3 linked regions of the Caenorhabditis elegans genome follow. The protein of the gene in region 2 purifies or fractionates together with the protein of the main gene of each other region. This does not show direct contact. Each region holds a gene or a part of one and is shown on either strand. Other genes may lie near its edges. The genes, in order: mtpn-1, spk-1 and B0261.8.

What was found.
Region 1: the proteins of spk-1 (region 2) and mtpn-1 fractionate together in Caenorhabditis elegans (co-fractionation; one large-scale study listed by BioGRID). This does not show direct contact.
Region 3: the proteins of spk-1 (region 2) and B0261.8 fractionate together in Caenorhabditis elegans (co-fractionation; one large-scale study listed by BioGRID). This does not show direct contact.

Annotation. Positions count from the first base shown.
Region 1 is NC_003284.9:2,405,613-2,410,518, reverse strand, and holds mtpn-1 (ANK_REP_REGION domain-containing protein), read right to left. Parts: upstream 3,053-4,906; coding exon 2,882-3,052; intron 2,833-2,881; coding exon 2,749-2,832; intron 1,445-2,748; coding exon 1,355-1,444; 3' UTR 952-1,354; downstream 1-951. Other genes in the region: trpp-12 (TRansport Protein Particle), read right to left, coding at 56-169, 214-282, 330-422, 743-808; C43H6.4 (PH domain-containing protein), read right to left, coding at 3,450-3,826, 4,132-4,220, 4,273-4,407, 4,616-4,731, 4,785-4,901.
Region 2 is NC_003281.10:9,455,271-9,463,727, reverse strand, and holds spk-1 (Serine/threonine-protein kinase spk-1), read right to left. Parts: upstream 6,201-8,457; 5' UTR 5,745-6,200; coding exon 4,705-5,744; intron 4,628-4,704; coding exon 4,513-4,627; intron 4,460-4,512; coding exon 4,211-4,459; intron 4,105-4,210; coding exon 3,796-4,104; intron 3,745-3,795; coding exon 3,505-3,744; intron 3,211-3,504; coding exon of another isoform or gene 3,034-3,210; intron 2,663-3,033; coding exon 2,582-2,662; intron 2,536-2,581; coding exon 1,813-2,535; intron 1,766-1,812; coding exon 1,665-1,765; intron 1,622-1,664; coding exon 1,468-1,621; 3' UTR 721-1,467; downstream 1-720. Other genes in the region: B0464.6 (uncharacterized protein), read left to right, coding at 1-133, 253-346, 404-607; rheb-1 (GTP-binding protein Rheb homolog 1), read left to right, coding at 7,719-7,791, 7,918-8,043, 8,097-8,193, 8,245-8,301, 8,350-8,457. UniProt on the Caenorhabditis elegans protein: Required for embryogenesis and germline development in both adult hermaphrodites and males. SR-protein kinase (SRPK) that binds directly to and phosphorylates the RS domain of rsp-3/CeSF2 in vitro.
Region 3 is NC_003279.8:5,270,727-5,274,472, reverse strand, and holds B0261.8 (uncharacterized protein), read left to right. Parts: upstream 1-2,431; 5' UTR 2,432-2,441; coding exon 2,442-2,496; intron 2,497-2,553; coding exon 2,554-2,895; intron 2,896-2,951; coding exon 2,952-3,100; 3' UTR 3,101-3,208; downstream 3,209-3,746. Other genes in the region: C01G8.1 (uncharacterized protein), read left to right, coding at 265-300, 347-506, 559-678, 725-918, 971-1,168, 1,222-1,461; B0261.7 (Zf-tcix domain-containing protein), read left to right, coding at 3,539-3,746.

The sequences.
Region 1 (4,906 bases), on a different chromosome or scaffold from region 2:
CTATTTTTTCTATAAAAAATAGTCAGAACCGTTACTCCTCTTTTAAGTTACTAACCTCCATGCATATTTGATTAATTTCCGACGGCCTTCCAGCTTTATCTTTTCCTTGTCCTAGCCATGTCAGCATATCAGATGTTCCATTTAAAGCTGCTTCCAAAAGGCCTTTTTTCTGAACATGTTATACTTGTGTTATTAGTTACGTAGTGTACTCACAAGAAACCATATCAACCCTCGCTGATTAAGGTCAAGGTCGTAGGAGGGAAAAAATTTGTTGAACGTGTCCTGGAAAATTGAACGTATTGATATGACAAAGTTGCATAATGACGTACTTGGTAACGATGTTCAATTGGACTACGAATAAAGTCTTCCTTGATACCCGGCATTGTATATTGCATTGTTCCTCGAGCATCTGGTTTTGTGGACTGAAATATTAGAATTATTTTGTTAATTTTTGAATATCTAGACACATTTCTTAACTATTAGTTTTGGCAACAATATAAAAGTTTGTAAATATTTCCTCATTTTCTCCATTTTCCATACATCCCGATATTGCGAAAATCGATAAAATCTACATCTCTTTACCGCTGTTTATCCTTGCCATGTACCCCAAAAAGGTTTTTTTTTTCAAGTTTCTCAACAAAAAAATTATAAATGTAAATTTTTTGAATTTTACCGTTAGGAATAATAATTTCTAGGCCGGAAAAATAGTAACAAAAAAAAATTGAATAATTTTTGAACTCACTTTCAATCTAACTGATTCTGGCCAGTACAGTAGGTGTTTTTTGTCCTCGTAGGCATAATTCAGCATTCGGTCCTTCAATTTCACCCTAGAATTCGGCATTGTGGTAAAAGAGTCGACAAGTGCACATTTGCAGTTCAAATACGAATAATCCGATTGTTGTACGCGATCATTGACAAAATAGAATCAAAACCAAAATGGAAATGTTTTCTCGAAGCAAGCACCTTTATTATTTATATGGACGGGTGTACGGTGATAAGACACACAGTTGGGTGATAAAGCAAATTTAAAGCTGCAACAAAAAAAGCAGAGAACCGAGACAATATGTGGATGAACGAAATAAGCAACGGAATAAGGAAAACGCATCGGAAACAGACACATATGTGACAGGATTTCAATGAATGGGGGGAAGGAACAAGATCGATGATTGAAATTGACATCACAATGAAACTAAAAAGCGAAAGAGAGAAAAAGAAGTGAACATGAAAATTCCACATTTGGAAGAAGATAAAAAAGTAAAAAAGTACACAAAATGCCGCAATCGAGATTTAATGGTGAATAAATTAGCGAATGCTTGATAAAATATACTTATGCATGTATTAAAGTAAAATATGCTCAATTTTTAAGAAGTTCACGAATGTCTTCCTCCTCGGTGCAGTCGATGAGTGCCGTGCCGTCTGGGGCGTGTATCGAACGGTCCGCACCCTGAAAAGCAACTGATATATGAATATTATGTAATTTTTTTAAACTTCAAAAAAGCTTGTATCTAATAAAACTTGTATAATTGTTAAAATGTAATTTTCATGTTAAAGGTTAAGTTAGGGCGAGGAATCCGTTTCAAACCACGGTTGATTAGGTATATGTACCTCATTTATGTTTATTTTTTATTAATTGTTAAATACTTTTTGAGATGGTGTGGCGCCAGTGGGGAAATTGTTCTAAAGGTGAAGTAATGTGCAAAAAAATTTTAATTTTTTATGATTTTTTTTCCAATTTTGCAAAAATCGAAAAACAAGTCATGAATAAATTCGAATTCCCGCGCAAATGAGTGACATAATTTTTTGGCAAAATCACGTTTTCTGGCTAAATTCATCGGTATTACTTCAATATTTATACGCCGCTTGTCAATTTTGCAAACATTTTTCCATAGAGAATTTCTAATAACCCAAAAGAAAATTGCGAAAAGAAGTGCAAAATTGGTTGCAAAATTGACTAAGGATTTTTATTTATGGTTTTTTTGCTGGAAAATGTTTGAAAACTTAATAAACGGTATTTGAAATCAAATATTACAGAAAAATTCAAGAAAAACTGTATTTAGCCAGAAAACGCCAAATAGTCAAACATGACGTCACTCAATTGCGCGGGAATTGAAATTTAATTCGGCAGTTTTTTGGATTTTTGCAAATTTACAAAAATCATTTAAAAAAATTAATTATTACTGTTGTATTCGATCATAACCTTCGATTTTCTAAAATTTTGAGAAAATATTTTAAAGTATTTTTTTTTCTTTATTCCGCCTTAAAAAAAAATGGCTATGACACCACAATGATCAATTATCATAATAAAAATATTAAAGAAAAATCTAAATTTTAAATTATTTTTTTTTAATTGGAAAAATCTCAGGTTTTGCCACTTTTTGGAAGTTGTCGATCAAAAAAATTTTATTTCGAATTTTAATGCCTACTTACGTTTCAACTGTTGATATTTAAACAGCCTCGAAATTCGAACACGTAACAGTGCTATGGTTTTCTCAAAAAGTAAAATGCCAAAATTACAAAAGTTCTAGATTTTTTGTAAGATGAAGAGCAATGATTGAATTTTTAGAATATTTGAAACATTATTTGATGAGTTCAAAAATCGCCTTTTTTTTCGCCTACTCGTAAATTTTTTGAGGCGAAAACTGAGAAATAGCCGTTTTTGACAGCGAATAAAATTATTCTGGAAAGTTTCACTGTAAAATTTAAGCTTACTAGCACACGACAGGCGCTACTGCACCATAAAATACTCACGTTTTGGAGTAGCAGCTTCACCGCGTCGCGATGTCCTTCCCACACGGCAGACAACAGCGGTGTGATTCCGTATTTGTCCTTATCCTGAATCAACAAACATAAATGCATATTGTTGAATATCGTGCTGATTCACCTGAATATTCGCTCCAATGCTAATCAAATACGCAATGATAGAAGTCTGTCCGTAGTCGGCGGCAATTTGAATGGCGGTGCGGCCGTTGTAGATCTCGTGAACGTTCTTCTCGTTGACGCTCTGCTTCACTGCATCGATCTCTCCGTTTTGTACGTTCCAGGCGACGGACATCTGGAATTGTTGTGAGTTTTAATAGAAAATGTTCACAAAAATGTAAATAGCAGTAGGTTAGAAACCAGTGAAATAAAATCTCAAGGAAACTTCAAGAAAATTGAGCTTCAAACTTTTATTTACAAAATTTATGATACGTGTTTTAAAAAAACAAAACTGTAACAACAAAATATGTTAGAAATTGACAATTTGGATAAAAATTTGTATACAGAACAATATATCAGACTGGACAGCTAGTTTCCGCTGAACAACGCAAAAAATCGATGAGAAAGGCTGGTGTTGTGTGCTTAGTGTGCGCAGAGAAATGAAAAAAGAGATGAAGATCAGGTGTGAAAACATTGAAAAATGAAACAATAAACAACGGAAAACGAAATATCTCTGAAGTGTTGTTCAATTTTCAAGCAGCCGACACTGGACTGATAACTTCCTCTTCATCTTCGTCGGAAGAATCATCCGATTCATAGGGATATTCAGACTCCACAAAATATGGAACACCAAACGAATCTGCGTCTGTGAGACGATCAATTTGAACGTGACGCATTTGCTCTTCCAAATGAATTCGTTCCTGATCATTATTGTTATTGAGTTGAAATATGGGCCAGTAATGCCTCAAATGTCTTGTAATTTCGGTTTCAACATTTTGATTATTGCCAAAAATCCGATCATAATTCATTGTGATCCGATGGAGCAAAGGTACACGACCACCAGGTCGGCTGAGAGTTTTTGTCATAAAGATTGGAAACGAATTTTTGAATCCATCGGTAAGTTTGTAGCCTGAAAATTGAAATATGCTACAGATTGCTCAGTTTTCGAAAAGGAAAAAATAATTCAAAATAGTTCTGAAAAATGCTGAGTTGTCTCAAAATTACTGAAGGTTTTATCATGTTTTGGAATACATTTTCATAAAGCTTTATCCAATGTAAATAATTGTCATTCTGACACTAAAAACGCATTCTTAAGTCTTGATTGAAATTTTTTGAAGTGAAACATTCGTCTGCAAGGCTCACGCACCTTGTCTTTGTCATGATACTTTTTGCAACGTTATCAAAAAAATTTGATAAATCTATTCTCAACTCTACCTTTAAAAATATTCAAAGGGCTCATGAAACTTGGCTCAACTTGAAGAACGTCGTTGTTGATTACACCAAGCATATAGACGAGAAGTTTTCTGAAAATAGACAGATTTTTTTCTGAAGTAAAAAATTATCCAATTTACATACCCTGTATTTACAATAATGTATTGCTCACGTTGGTATCGCTGTCTCTCATGATGATTAAAATGACGACTAAAACGTCCCCAGTTGTACACATTATTTGCATTTGCTACAATGTGGAAATCAATTTCCTTTGCGATTCTGAAAATAAAATAAGAAAAGTTTGAATTTTTTCGAAAAAAGGTTGCTCAGATTCTTCAAACAAACCAAGAACTTGAGTTGCAACTTAATACTTTATTTAGTAATTATGGTATGTTTAAAAGAAATTTCCCCACTGGCCTTTAAAAAGAATAGTATAATTTTTTTAGATAACACACAAAAAAAAATTCAAAGGTATTAAACCACTTACTTTTCTTGCCAGTCTGGATCGATTTCAGTCATAACTGCTTTTAATTTTGTATCTATTTGGTACAGGTTATACAGACAGTGCAAAACCATTTCAAATGGACCAAACACTTGGTCAATCTGAAATTAAAAAATTAAATTAGATTTACTTGCTCATAAATCCTTCAATTAACCCCTTCTGCGTGCACATCTGGTAGAAACTTCATGAGTCGTTTGAAAAGAAGTTTGAAAAGTTCCGGATTACTATTCTGGTGATGTTGCTCCTTTTTGGGACACACTGCAGCGAGGCACTAAA
Region 2 (8,457 bases):
ACGATCAAATGACACGTCTTGTTCGCCGTGAATGGAATGATTCGTTGCCAACTGATGCAGTTCTCGTATTCGACATTTTTCTGGCTTATATGGATGCTCAACTCAATTCCAATTGTCTCGTTGGAGATAGTCGGTTAGTAATTGTTTTCTGGAATATATTAGATTTCAGTTAATCTGAAAAAAGTATACTTTTATAATCCTGTTTTAACGTTTAATTCAATAAATTGTGTTAAAAATTAAATCAATTTTCAGCCTTGACCAGCCATTCACCAGCCGATTCTGTGTCAAAAATGCTCAAAAACCATCATCTGCTCAACGTACTCCATTCAGTTTCTATCTTCACATGGTATGGCTTATAATAATTCACTCTTGTTCCTCCTCACTTCAAGAAATGTTTTTTCAGGTTACAAAATCTCCTCCACACGCTGAATTTGTGCACATTGATGAAAATGGATATGCAATTAAGTGCAACGTTCTCCGTCAATCACCCAATCTCTTCCGTGCTATCGCTCAATTTATTCATTTTGTGAAACATGAAAATCATGGATATCTGGATCAGACCTCAATCGGACCATCAGGAATTAACATGACATACGTCCTGGCGTGAAAAATTCAATTCAAGTTTTTATATGATGTTTATTATCGTATCCTTTAACAGGTTTTTATTTTCTCCCGCTTTGTTTTGTTGTTCTTTTGTTACGATCTCTCGACGACCACCCACATGAATCAATTATTTTTTATCTCGCTAACGTTACAAAATTCAATCATTTATGTCTACGAGGAAACCGAGATAATGAGAGAGAGAGAAGGGGAAAGGAAGCAATGAAGCACAGTAAAGATTTGAGAAAGGTTTATGCCAAATAGTTTGGGTATGTGAACAGACGGAGGAATATAAATGAAAAAGAAATGGGGGGAAAAGATGATCTACTGTTTGAGGCTGATAGAAGCATATGATGTTGTTGGGCAGAGGATAAGGACGATGTTCGTACAAAATAATTATATTATACCAGTAGCACTAAAGATCAAAAGGCGCTTCAACGAGACGCGCACGAGAGTGGCGCTAAACGTGCTTACTGCTCAGTCACTTCAGGAAGAACGGTGGTAAAAAAGAGAAAGGATGCGGTGATTCGATGTAGAAAGTGACAGGGAGAATGGGGAGATGAAGTAGTCGGATGATTGTTGAAATCCGAAACAATAAGTTAAACACTGTCTAGATTCAAAACATAAAAGTAAACACTCTGGAACAAAAGATTGGAAAATGCTGAAAAAAAAAATTAGCCCGAAGTGTTTTCTTTTCACCTATCGTAGGCAAGAAACGAGTAAAATTTGATTGAAAAAAGGAAAAACATAAAGATGAATATCGTCAAATTGACAGGAGAACATGTTTAACTCGGGAGATGTGCAAGAGGGCGTTGAAGAGTGACGAGACGGTGATGGAAGTGTTAACAAACAGGAGGGATTCGTGCACTACTGCAAATCCAGCTGAAAGCGTTCAATGTCAGAAATGTCGGTCGTTTCATTGTTTGTTATCACCCCCGATGGACCAGGTCGATTCATGTTGAACTCCTCCTCGTCGTCGTCGTCGCTGCCGCCCGCAGACCTGCTATTGGCACTCCTCTCGCTGCAATTTGCGTTTACATCCGCGTCGGTCCGAGCTTACGAACCTCGCCGATCTACTATCATTTTCGTCACGGTAAACTTCCTGATGCTCATTTCCGTCGAACGGCTCGGGAATCAATCCATCCGGAAACATCTTGCTCAGAAGCTGTAAAAATTATAGAGAAAATATTGAACAGACAATTAATATAAAACCTCAGGTGGACAATCAGATTTTGGCGCTCTTCCTCCAAATGGTAACAAGAACGGATGTTTCAATGCAATTTTGGCCGTAGATCGTTTCTCCTGATCGAAATCAAGCATCGGACGAAGGAAACTTTCAAACTGCTGCGCGTCTTCATGAGACCACTCGTATTTTTGTCTCAAAACCTCGTATAGTGACCATGGTTTAAGTTGGTGAATGTGAAGTAAGTGTCCATTTTTGTGGAAGAACTCTCTCCAATGTTTACCCTTTTTGTAAATTGACGGTGGAATTGCTCCAAGAAGTTCGGAAATGTGCGCAAGATGATCTTCATCGCGTGAATAGTTATCTCCTTGGTGTGGTTCAAACAAATAGTCACCGGTTGCCAATTCAAAAGCCATACACGCGGTACTCCAAATATCAGCTGGAGGTCCGTATCCTGAACCGATCAACACTTCAAGTGCTCTATACTGACGAGTTTGAATATCGTCCGTGTAGTGATGATTCACCCAACACGCGTTTCCGAGATCAGCGATTTTGACGTCGATGTCACAATATGGATCACCAATGTTGGGGCCAACTGGAGGAGCAGGCAGGATACCACCTGGAGGCAACTGGCTCATGGGCGAGCTCAGATATTCGGCGGATGGTGAGGCCAAATCTCCAAACTTGCTCTCCGGATCACTGAATGGAGTCAGCGTGGTTCTATCGAAACGATCAGGGCTCCTGATTTCCACCTGAAAATATAAATGGTTGTGGCTACAAAAATGAAATATATCATACCTTGTTTCTGTTTCCATTTTCATTGACAGTATCTTCCATGGTGACATCTTCCACTTGTGAAGCGTTGAAGTTCTCCAACTCCTGAAAAAATAAAAATTAAATTAATTGATTCAGATTTTTTTCTAAACTGAATTCACAACATGTTTAAGCTTATATATGATAAAAATTAGATACAGCACTGATGTATTTTCTGCAACAAAGACGAAACGACGAAAAAATGCAGACGGCATCCAGGGCGCAGCGGCAAAAAAAACCGAAACTAAATAGTCAGTGAATTTTAAAATAAAGAAACGGAAGGAGAAATGAGGTACGTGTGAATATACAAGCGTCTTCCGGTAATTTTGGTTGCAGAGTGGAAATAAGTGTGTGAATCGAGGAAGAGAGAGTAGAAGGGAACCATCATCATGTCAACACAACCAAACACTCACACCAACATTCGCATTCAGGATCACCTGTGTCAGATGATACGTCTGATTGCAGACGCATCCAACCTGTGGATAGAGAGATGGTGGTGGCGGTGGAACCGTTCTTGGAGACGATGGCGTATTCACACAAGAACTGCCTTGAAGCAGTTGGGGAATCGGACCATTGAAGAGCAAAGATGGAGGACGCATTCGGACACCATTTTGCTATATATCAGTTTTATCGTTTTTGTTTCGTTTTTTAAAAAATTATGATTGATAGAGTATAATCTTGATTTTTTAAAAATTACCAGCGTATTTCCTCTATTATTATTGCACATCGAAACTTTTCCAATGTTTGTCAACTAAGAAAATACTTTTTTATTTCTTTTTCTATCGTTTCAAAATTAAAATGTGAAATGATATCTTTGAAATGAACAGAGATATATTCTTTCAAATTTAAAAATTCAAGTATTGGGGTGCAATACTATTAGAAGAAGAACGGTATAGTGTTCAACTTACCGGTGCATTATTGTATGCCTCCTGCAGCCCATTAGCGTCCATTTTGAGGCCTTCGAGTCCAGCCAATTCCGCTTCCAACTTCTCTCGTTGTTTTTTGGCCTTCTTCTTCATCTTTTTCTTCTTGTTTTTCGTCATATTCTCCTGAGCCATTTTCACCAAATGATCCGGTGCAGTACTGACAGCCGATCCACTCATTTTCATATTCATCTTCCGGGCAACTACAGCATGTTGAGCCATAATCTGTAAAATTTTGAAAAATTAATTCCACAATTAATGGTTTTTAAAAAATACCTTGATCTCTTCTCGGCTCATCGTGATTAGCACATTTTCAGGTTTAATATCAGTATGAATGATGCCGCACTTTTCATGCATATATCCTAACGCCTCCAGAACTTGTCTGCATATTTTCCTAACTTGTTCCAGATGAAGTCCTCGATAATTTGAGCGTATAATCAGCTTTAACAGATTGCACCCAAGAACTTCAAACACCATAGCAACGTGCTGACCATTAATTCCCGTAACAGTGAATTCATCGAGCAATTGAACAACCTTGTGGCATCCGATGTCATTTGGATCAGCACTTCGTACGGATAGCAACAACTGAAATTATTCTCGTTTTATATTAGTCTTAATTTTTTTTTCTCGAGTCTCAGAGAATGTTGCATAAAAATCTATTGTTTCAGCACTACGTTACTTCAAAACTAACCTTAATTTCATCAAGAGCCGCTTCCGTGTAATGCTCCGCTGACTTCACTATTTTCATGGCAACAAATCGTTTGTCTTGAGTGTCCCACGCCAGCCAAACCGTAGAAAAGTGACCCCATCCAAGTTTACGAATCACATGATATCTCGCATTGAATACATCACCAATGTTGACTGGATGATATCCACCTCGTTTGTAATCACGTGGATCTTCTTGTTCTTCATCGTCAGATCCAAGTTGTTCTCCAGGATCCTGAAAATAAATATGTATAAATACAAAAAAATGAAATGCAAAAATCAACTCACCATTGGATCTTGGAATGAATCTGAATGTCCACCACCGCCGCCTCCAGGAGAATCACTTCGTCCGGGGCTCACACTTAAATCGTCCAAACGCTCTTCATTAGCATTGACTTCGGTCCTGAAAAATGTAAATTAAAAGACAGTTTCTGATTGATATTAGTAATACTAATTTAGTTAATGGAAAATAAATGTTACTTTTTGTTATTTCTTGGAATTATAGATGGACGAGGAATAGAAATAGAAGCTGAAGCGCATGCGGTTCCCAGATCATACTCGAACATCTGAATTTCGATATCTTCTGAGTCGTAAGAGGTAGCACTGTCGTCCCCGTCGTCGCCCGTTGAGGAAGACGATGTCGACGAGGAGACTGAAGAATCGATCGTCCCTTCACTCTCTTCACCCTCTTTTGCTGACCGCATTTCCACCGGAAGGTTATCGTATTTGGATGTGTCCTCATCGACAAGAACATCTTTTTCATTTTTATCGTCGTTCGAATGACACGACGCCAAATCTTCAGTTGCTGACTCTTCTGCTTCTTGTGATTCAATAGAGCTTACCGAATCAATTGATTCTTCGGTAGCATCATTCACATGAAAAGAATCATCTTGAGATTCAACGTCCTCTTCATCTGAGGCAGATACGCAAGAGTTCATGTCTTCATCAGAGCATCTTGAACCATCTTGTGATTGTAGCGACTGTTCATCGTCCTCATTCGAATGATCATTCTCATTTACAACACTTTTTTGTTGTACAGTTTCACCCTCTTCGCACAACGTTTCCGGTAGTTTACTGACTTCGGAAATGTTAGAGGTAACCATTAGAGCGTCTGATATATCGAAATTCGACGCGACGCCTCCATTATCTTCCGCACTAGCGAACACTAAATTAACTTCTGTCTCTTCATTTTGTGTACTCGTATTTATTTCTTGGGAAGAGATTTCTTCTTCTTCATTGGTCGAATTTTCTTTTTTATTTCTTTGCTTTACAAAGAAATAAAATCGATTCTGGTTGACCAAATCAACATTTATATGACAGGTTACGTCTGCAGATGATGCCAAAAGCTGTGTACAAATATCAGTTTCAGAATACGATTCGTGGTCATTCAGTTCTTCCGATTCCTCTGAATGAACACGAAAACGGCGGCGTCTCTGAACGGCTTCATCTTCGAATTTATAAAGTCGTTCTCGATGCTGGCTGAAGCCATTGAGCCATCTACAGAATAGAACCACAAACATGAATATGACAGTGGGGAAAACGTCAGTTAAGCTGAAGGAGCCGCCTGCTTCGACATCATTTGTTATACCCGAGTAATCGATAGCTGAGAGCGAATGTACTGCTCGACCGGCCAGCCTGACAGAAGAAAACTGGATTCAAAAGCAGGCGATTTTTTTTGAAATAGCGACCACGTAGAAGCGAGTTGCGACGCTTTGAGAGTGGGAAGGGGGATAAGGAAGATCAGCGGCGCGAGAAGTGTCTCGAGAATATTGGCGGCGGCCAACGAGGCGCGAGGAGCGACTTGAAGAAAACGCGATCGGTGTGAGAAGGAAGAGTGTTCAAGTGATAGTGATGTAATGATTGCGGCGCCCAACAAGAGATAGAGGAAATCCTGGGTCTCTCTTCCTTGTTTCAATCTTCAACTTGTCGGCCAGGTCGCGAAGAGGAGACAGCTGACAGAGAGAAAAGGCCAAGGTGAAGGAATAGAGAAGATAGAAAAGAAGGGACGAATGGATGGATGGGTGGATGGATGACGGACACACGAAGGTGGGATCATTTGAGACGAAGTGAAAAGACAACCAGTTGCTGTCATGAGAAAAGGACGATGCAACGATTACACCAAACAACTTATAATCATTTTGGTCCCGGTTTCAGCGATGTAATTAAAGCATATTAAAAAAAAAAACTCAAAATCTCACCTTTCCACGTGATTTGATCCGTTTGTTGTAACTGTTCCATTTTTCAAATTTGCGTTTTTCTCACCCGCTTGAGGAGATGTAGGCGTGTTTGGTGCTGTGGGCTGAAATATGAAGATTAAAAAAGCTTAATGGCAGAATTCTATTAAACTCACATTCAATCGGCGATATAGCCAATGTATTGAATGCAAAATACTAAGCATGCTCATAAATTTTCACTTTGTTTTGTTTTAAAACTAGTGTAAGAAAAGAAAATTAGTGGTTATCTCTACCCCTGGGTCATTAGCGGCTGCCACTGGCTCATAATGAAGCCGTTCTCATTTTACTTGAGGCAAAGGAGAAATCTAAGTTAAAACTGATGTGAGAATATATTAGTGGAGGGCTCGCATCCAAGAGAGTAAGCTCGGAAGTGCGTGAAATGAAGGGAATGCGACAGAGCTGTTTGAAGTTTTCAAATCTCTAGAGGCCATTAGAAAAAAAGAGTATTCTTTGGGTTCGATTTAGTGTCAGAACAGACTGAGCTTTAATTTTTCGAAAGTGTAAGTGTTTAGAAAAAGGGAAAACTTCTGAACAGAAACCGAAAAATGCTCACCTTTTTCTTATTGGTCTTCTTCTTCCTTTTCTTATTTGGCAGTGGTACTGTGCTGTTTTTTTCTGGTCCGCCCATATTCTACACTTAAACACGGTTCGTTTCACTGAAATTGATACAAATAAATAAAATAGGACTCATCAAAATTCGGGGAAAACAAGAAAACACTTCAGAGGAAAATGTTTTTGAGTTTTTAAAAGTTTGCGGAGGTTAATTGAACAACAAAAATGATGATAAAAAGATTATATCTGCCCGTACAAACATAAAATATAATTCTTGATAAGACCTATGCCAATTTCGAATGATAATAACGCTTTCAACGCGGAGGGCTCAAATTGGCGGCCGTTTTGCGCCAGAAATATCGATCTCGAGTTTGATCTGCAGGTTTGCTTGGGTACGGTGGGTTTGGCTTGCTGCCAAGAAGTGTATCATGCGCCTCCGTCTCTTATTTTCACACGCTCTCTCGCCTGCAATTCTCTATTTACAGTTGGTTTTTAGTTCGTTTTATCAGGAAAAAAGCGCATATTATTGCAAAAGTACATCATTTCTTTGTTTCTACATGTTAAATATTAATAGAGAATTTAAAAATAATGATGAGTGTTTAAAAAAATAATTTTTTTACTTTTCCCTTTTTATTTTATTTATTAATTTTTTATACTTCTATCAAAACTCAATCATTCAATATTCAGAATATACTCATTTTTGTGAAGATGAGCAGTTCGCTGCAATCAAATCGTCAGAGTCTGAATCGAAAAGTGGCCGTTATGGGATATCCTCATGTTGGTGAGCGTTTACGACAACTTTTTTTTGTAGAAAATCAAACATACCGGGAGCAAAATTGAACAAAGCAATGAAAAAATTAAAACAACTTTATTTAAACAAGGACATTCACGTTGAGAAACTTTACAGGAAAATCGGCGTTGGTACTTCGTTTCACACAAAATATTTTCCCTGAAAGGTATGAATCAACAATTGAGGATCAACATTCGAAGCACATAGCAGCGTTTCACAGGGACTATCATTTAAGAGTCACTGGTAAATTTTATCATTTTTTGAGCTTACTGAAAACTGATATTAGATATTTCCAGACACAGCAGGACAACAAGAATACACAGTTTTCCCGAGAAGTTGTTCCCTTGATATTAATGGATTTATACTTGTTTATGCAATCGATGATAGAAAATCGTAAGACTTCCGTTTTTTCTTTATTTGTTTTATTTAGATTTATAAATTCAGATTCGAAATGTGCAGCAACATCTATGAAAAAATCGTAAGAACCTATGGTGACACAAGGTATTTGAGCAGAAAGTAAAATTGCAGTCAAAAATCAAGAATTTCCAGCATTCCAATTGTAATTGTTGGAAACAAGACGGATCTCAGCACGCAAAGGGTCGTTCGAGCAGAAGAAGGTGAAGAACTTGCTAGACAATGGGATGCGAAGTTTGTCGA
Region 3 (3,746 bases), on a different chromosome or scaffold from region 2:
ATTATTTTATATTTATCCAAAGTAAAGAAAAAACAATTAAATTCAAACTCAAAACTAGGTATGTAAATTTTAATTTTTCTGGCTACTGTAGTTGACAGTTTCTGCATTGCAAAAGTGTAAGAACATTATCGCCGCCATTTTTTGAATTTCGTAAATAAAACGCGGGAAAAAATGTAAACAGTTTTTCCTTTCAATTGAGTTTTAATCTTTCGATTGAAAATTCTCTCATTTGCAAACTTCGAACCTTCACAATCCCATCGAAAAATGCTGCGTCGTATCAAGCGTTTTCTCGGATTATCGGTAAGGTTTTATGTTTACTATTTTATCGATTTTTAATAATTTTCAGACTCATGCTTACTTTCCAAACAATGAAGTGGCACCCACTGCCGACGGAAGTTTGATCTCCACAATGAGCCGAAAATCGACGAAATCGGAACGAAAAGCTGCGAAAAAGGAAAAGAAACGGAGTCAACTGGCTGATACATCCGCCCCGGCTATCTTCCATGGTTAGTTGTCTGAAACCATGATACAAATAAAATTTTAATGACGAATTTTCAGTTCCTACTGCGCCAGCCGATATCGTCACTGAAGGAGAAGGATCGACTGTAGGCCAAGGTTCTGAGATTGATCGTCGGACAGTTATCACCGACTCGCTTCCTTACCGAGAGCCCAGTGACAGTTAGTTTAGAAAAAAAATTATTGAATGTTATTGAGAAAATTTCAGAAGTTTACATGGGATCACCACCAAGCACTGTTCCGCAAGCTCCTGAGAGCAGCAGTAGCACTCGCAGCCTCGTCGGTTCAGATTCGATTAAATCTCGTTTGGAGTCTATGACTATTGACGGGACAAGCTCGGTGCTTCAACACGTGGATTCACTCACCAATTCAGTTTACTCGGCTGAATTCTGTCAAGAAGTGGTAAGGATATTCTAGTTATGAAACGAAACTAAAATAATTGAAATATCTTCAGGATTCTCAAAATACGTGTGATGCGAAGAGTCGTGAACTTCCAGTCGATTGTGACATTCCAACTGCTACTGAGCCACTACCAATCTCGACGAAATCTAACCCGGTTTCCAACTCATCGTTGACGTATATGGCTGATGTCAAGCTGATACTGCCGGATAAGCGAGATGAGAAATCGGAAGAAGTTGCTGGAATGAAGCAGGTATACTGATATATTGATATATCCCCATATCGTTCTATTATAATTATTTCCAGCTCAACGCCGAGCTTGACGGCTTATTGAAAACTTCTGCTCCTCCATTCCAAGTCTCAACTGCTCGTCTTCCACCAATGCTGAGAGAGCTTCCACCACCAGCCAATGATGAGTCAATGCTCAGTGGAAATGATGAATTTGACGATTCGAAGAACAATTCGGTTGCTCGGTATCTCAATGAATCGCATGAAGTGATGATGCGCAGTCCAGAGAACAAGCATCTTCGCAGCTGTGGATATTAAACCAGTTTTATATATTTTTACTGCACGATTGTATATTATTGAGTTTCCCCCATGATTTTGTAAAATATTCCCCCTAAAACTACTCAATCTCCTAACAACTATTTACGCATTCCTACATATATTTTGACGATGAATTTAAAGTTTGAAATGAAATCAGTTTCCTGTCAAACAAGTCTTGCAATGCAAATATAAACCTCAGTCTTCTTTTTTGCACCCATAATCATTCTCCTTTCCTCCTCTTTCTCTAATTTTTATCCTTTTTCTCGTTCACACCGGGTGAACATTTGTCCTCGTGTGCTGGCCGCTGCTGCAGTCGTCCATTTTCTTTTTCTCTTTTCATCCTCTCAATCTTTTTTCCACTTCTAATTCTCTCGATCTCCCTCAGTGTCTTTGTTTTCGTCGTCCGTCGTATGTCAAGTCTTCAATCCTAAATTTTATATTCTTTTGGAAATTTTATGAGCCAAAAACATTCCTGACTCTTAAAAACTATCCAAAAATGTTCAAAAGTGCAGCTGATCAACGATAATTTTTATTAATTTTAGGCATTCCATAGTAGGCAGGCACTTCTTCAGTCGTACGTGTCTGCCTTATGTCTATACGTATACGTGTTTTTTAAAGTCTAAAAAGTTTGAAGTACCAAGATGCGAAATCTTGCCCAAAAAGTACGGTGCACGATCTCGACACGACAAATTTTCGTGAATTGCAAAAAGTTCACATTTAAAGAGTACCGTAATACCATTCATAAAAAATCGTGAGAAAAATTTATGAAAGTTCCGCAGCAACTAACGTTTGAAGTTACAGTACTCTTTAAAGGCGCACACCATTTCTGCATTCAATAAAGGTCGATCATGTCGAGACCGGCTACCGTATTTTTGGCGCAAAAATTACGGTGTTTGATACATAGCAGTTCTCCTCGCTCTAAATTCTTCTAAGCCTTCATCAGATGAATAATAAGAAACAAGTATTTCAATTTCAGAACTATGGGAAGCCTTCTATCCACACCAGAGGGATCTAATCCTATCGGAAAAGCCATTGGTGAGTTATCATCTGTACTTTAATATTTTTACGATTTTACAAAAACTGGTGATTCAGGATTTCTTTCTCAACGCAAAAGACCAGCCGTCGAGCTCCAAGATGATTTTGAACCAGAAGTAAAAGTTCAGCGAACTTGTGAGGTCCAGGATGAAGAGGCGGAAGAAGAAAATATCGAGTTTGAGCATGAAATTGACGAGGAAGAGATTGAGGAGCAAGACGAAATTGTTCATGAACAATCTGAAAACGACCAAAACTTGAAGGATAGTGATGAAAAGAAAAACGAAATTGTTGCTCTCGAGAAGTCTACTGAAAAAGACGAGGAGCTTCCAATACCTGAAAAGGAGGCACAAGTGGATCAAGAAGACACTTTGGAGAATCTTTTTGAGAAGGAAACGGAATGTGAGTTCGTTAATTTGAAATTGATTTTTCGATTTTTCCTAATGTTGCTTTTTCAGCCAACAATACAAATGAGCAGCAAGAAAACGTTGAAACGAACGATACCACTTCCAATTTTGATCTCAACGAAGCAGAGGAAAGAGTCGACGTATTTTCAAACGGGCTTCTGACTTCAATCCAATCCACTCAACCAGAAATCATTGCATAAATTGAATTTATTAACTTATTTTTTATCAACGCCATTAAATTTTAATTTTTAAAATTTTTTTCAAAATATGTGACAAAATAAAATATTATAAACTTGAATTTTAGCTAATAAATTAACATATTATTAATAATACAGTAATATTTAATAATAAAACCATACTACGGTAGACAATGGCAAAGTCCGCAAACACTGTTAGGAAAATTGCGTACATTGCAATGATGCTCTATCGAAATAGTTTTTAGGATTTTTCTCTTAAAGTTTCTCTCATCATTTTCGCAACGCTATATTTTCTTTTTTATTTCAATTTAATATTAAAATAATCGCAATTTTTAGTAAACGAAGGATACTTTGGAGGAACCATTAATATTTTTCGAGCTTATAATTTTCTACCTTAATATCTAAACATTATAGTTCATTATCCCAATTTTTTCAGATAAAATGAGCTGTGTTGATAGTGTACACAGCAGTCGCGATCATTCGGTCCAACTTTCTCTGGAAAAGACTGCTTCTAGCAATGGGGACGAAAATTCAGAAGCGGATCCAGATCAGTCTTCGGGTGCGGTCAACCGTTCAAGATGGACTGAAAACGCCGCAAGATGCTACAAATGCAAGGACCTCGTGCCACACAAACTTCTCTTTGTCTGCC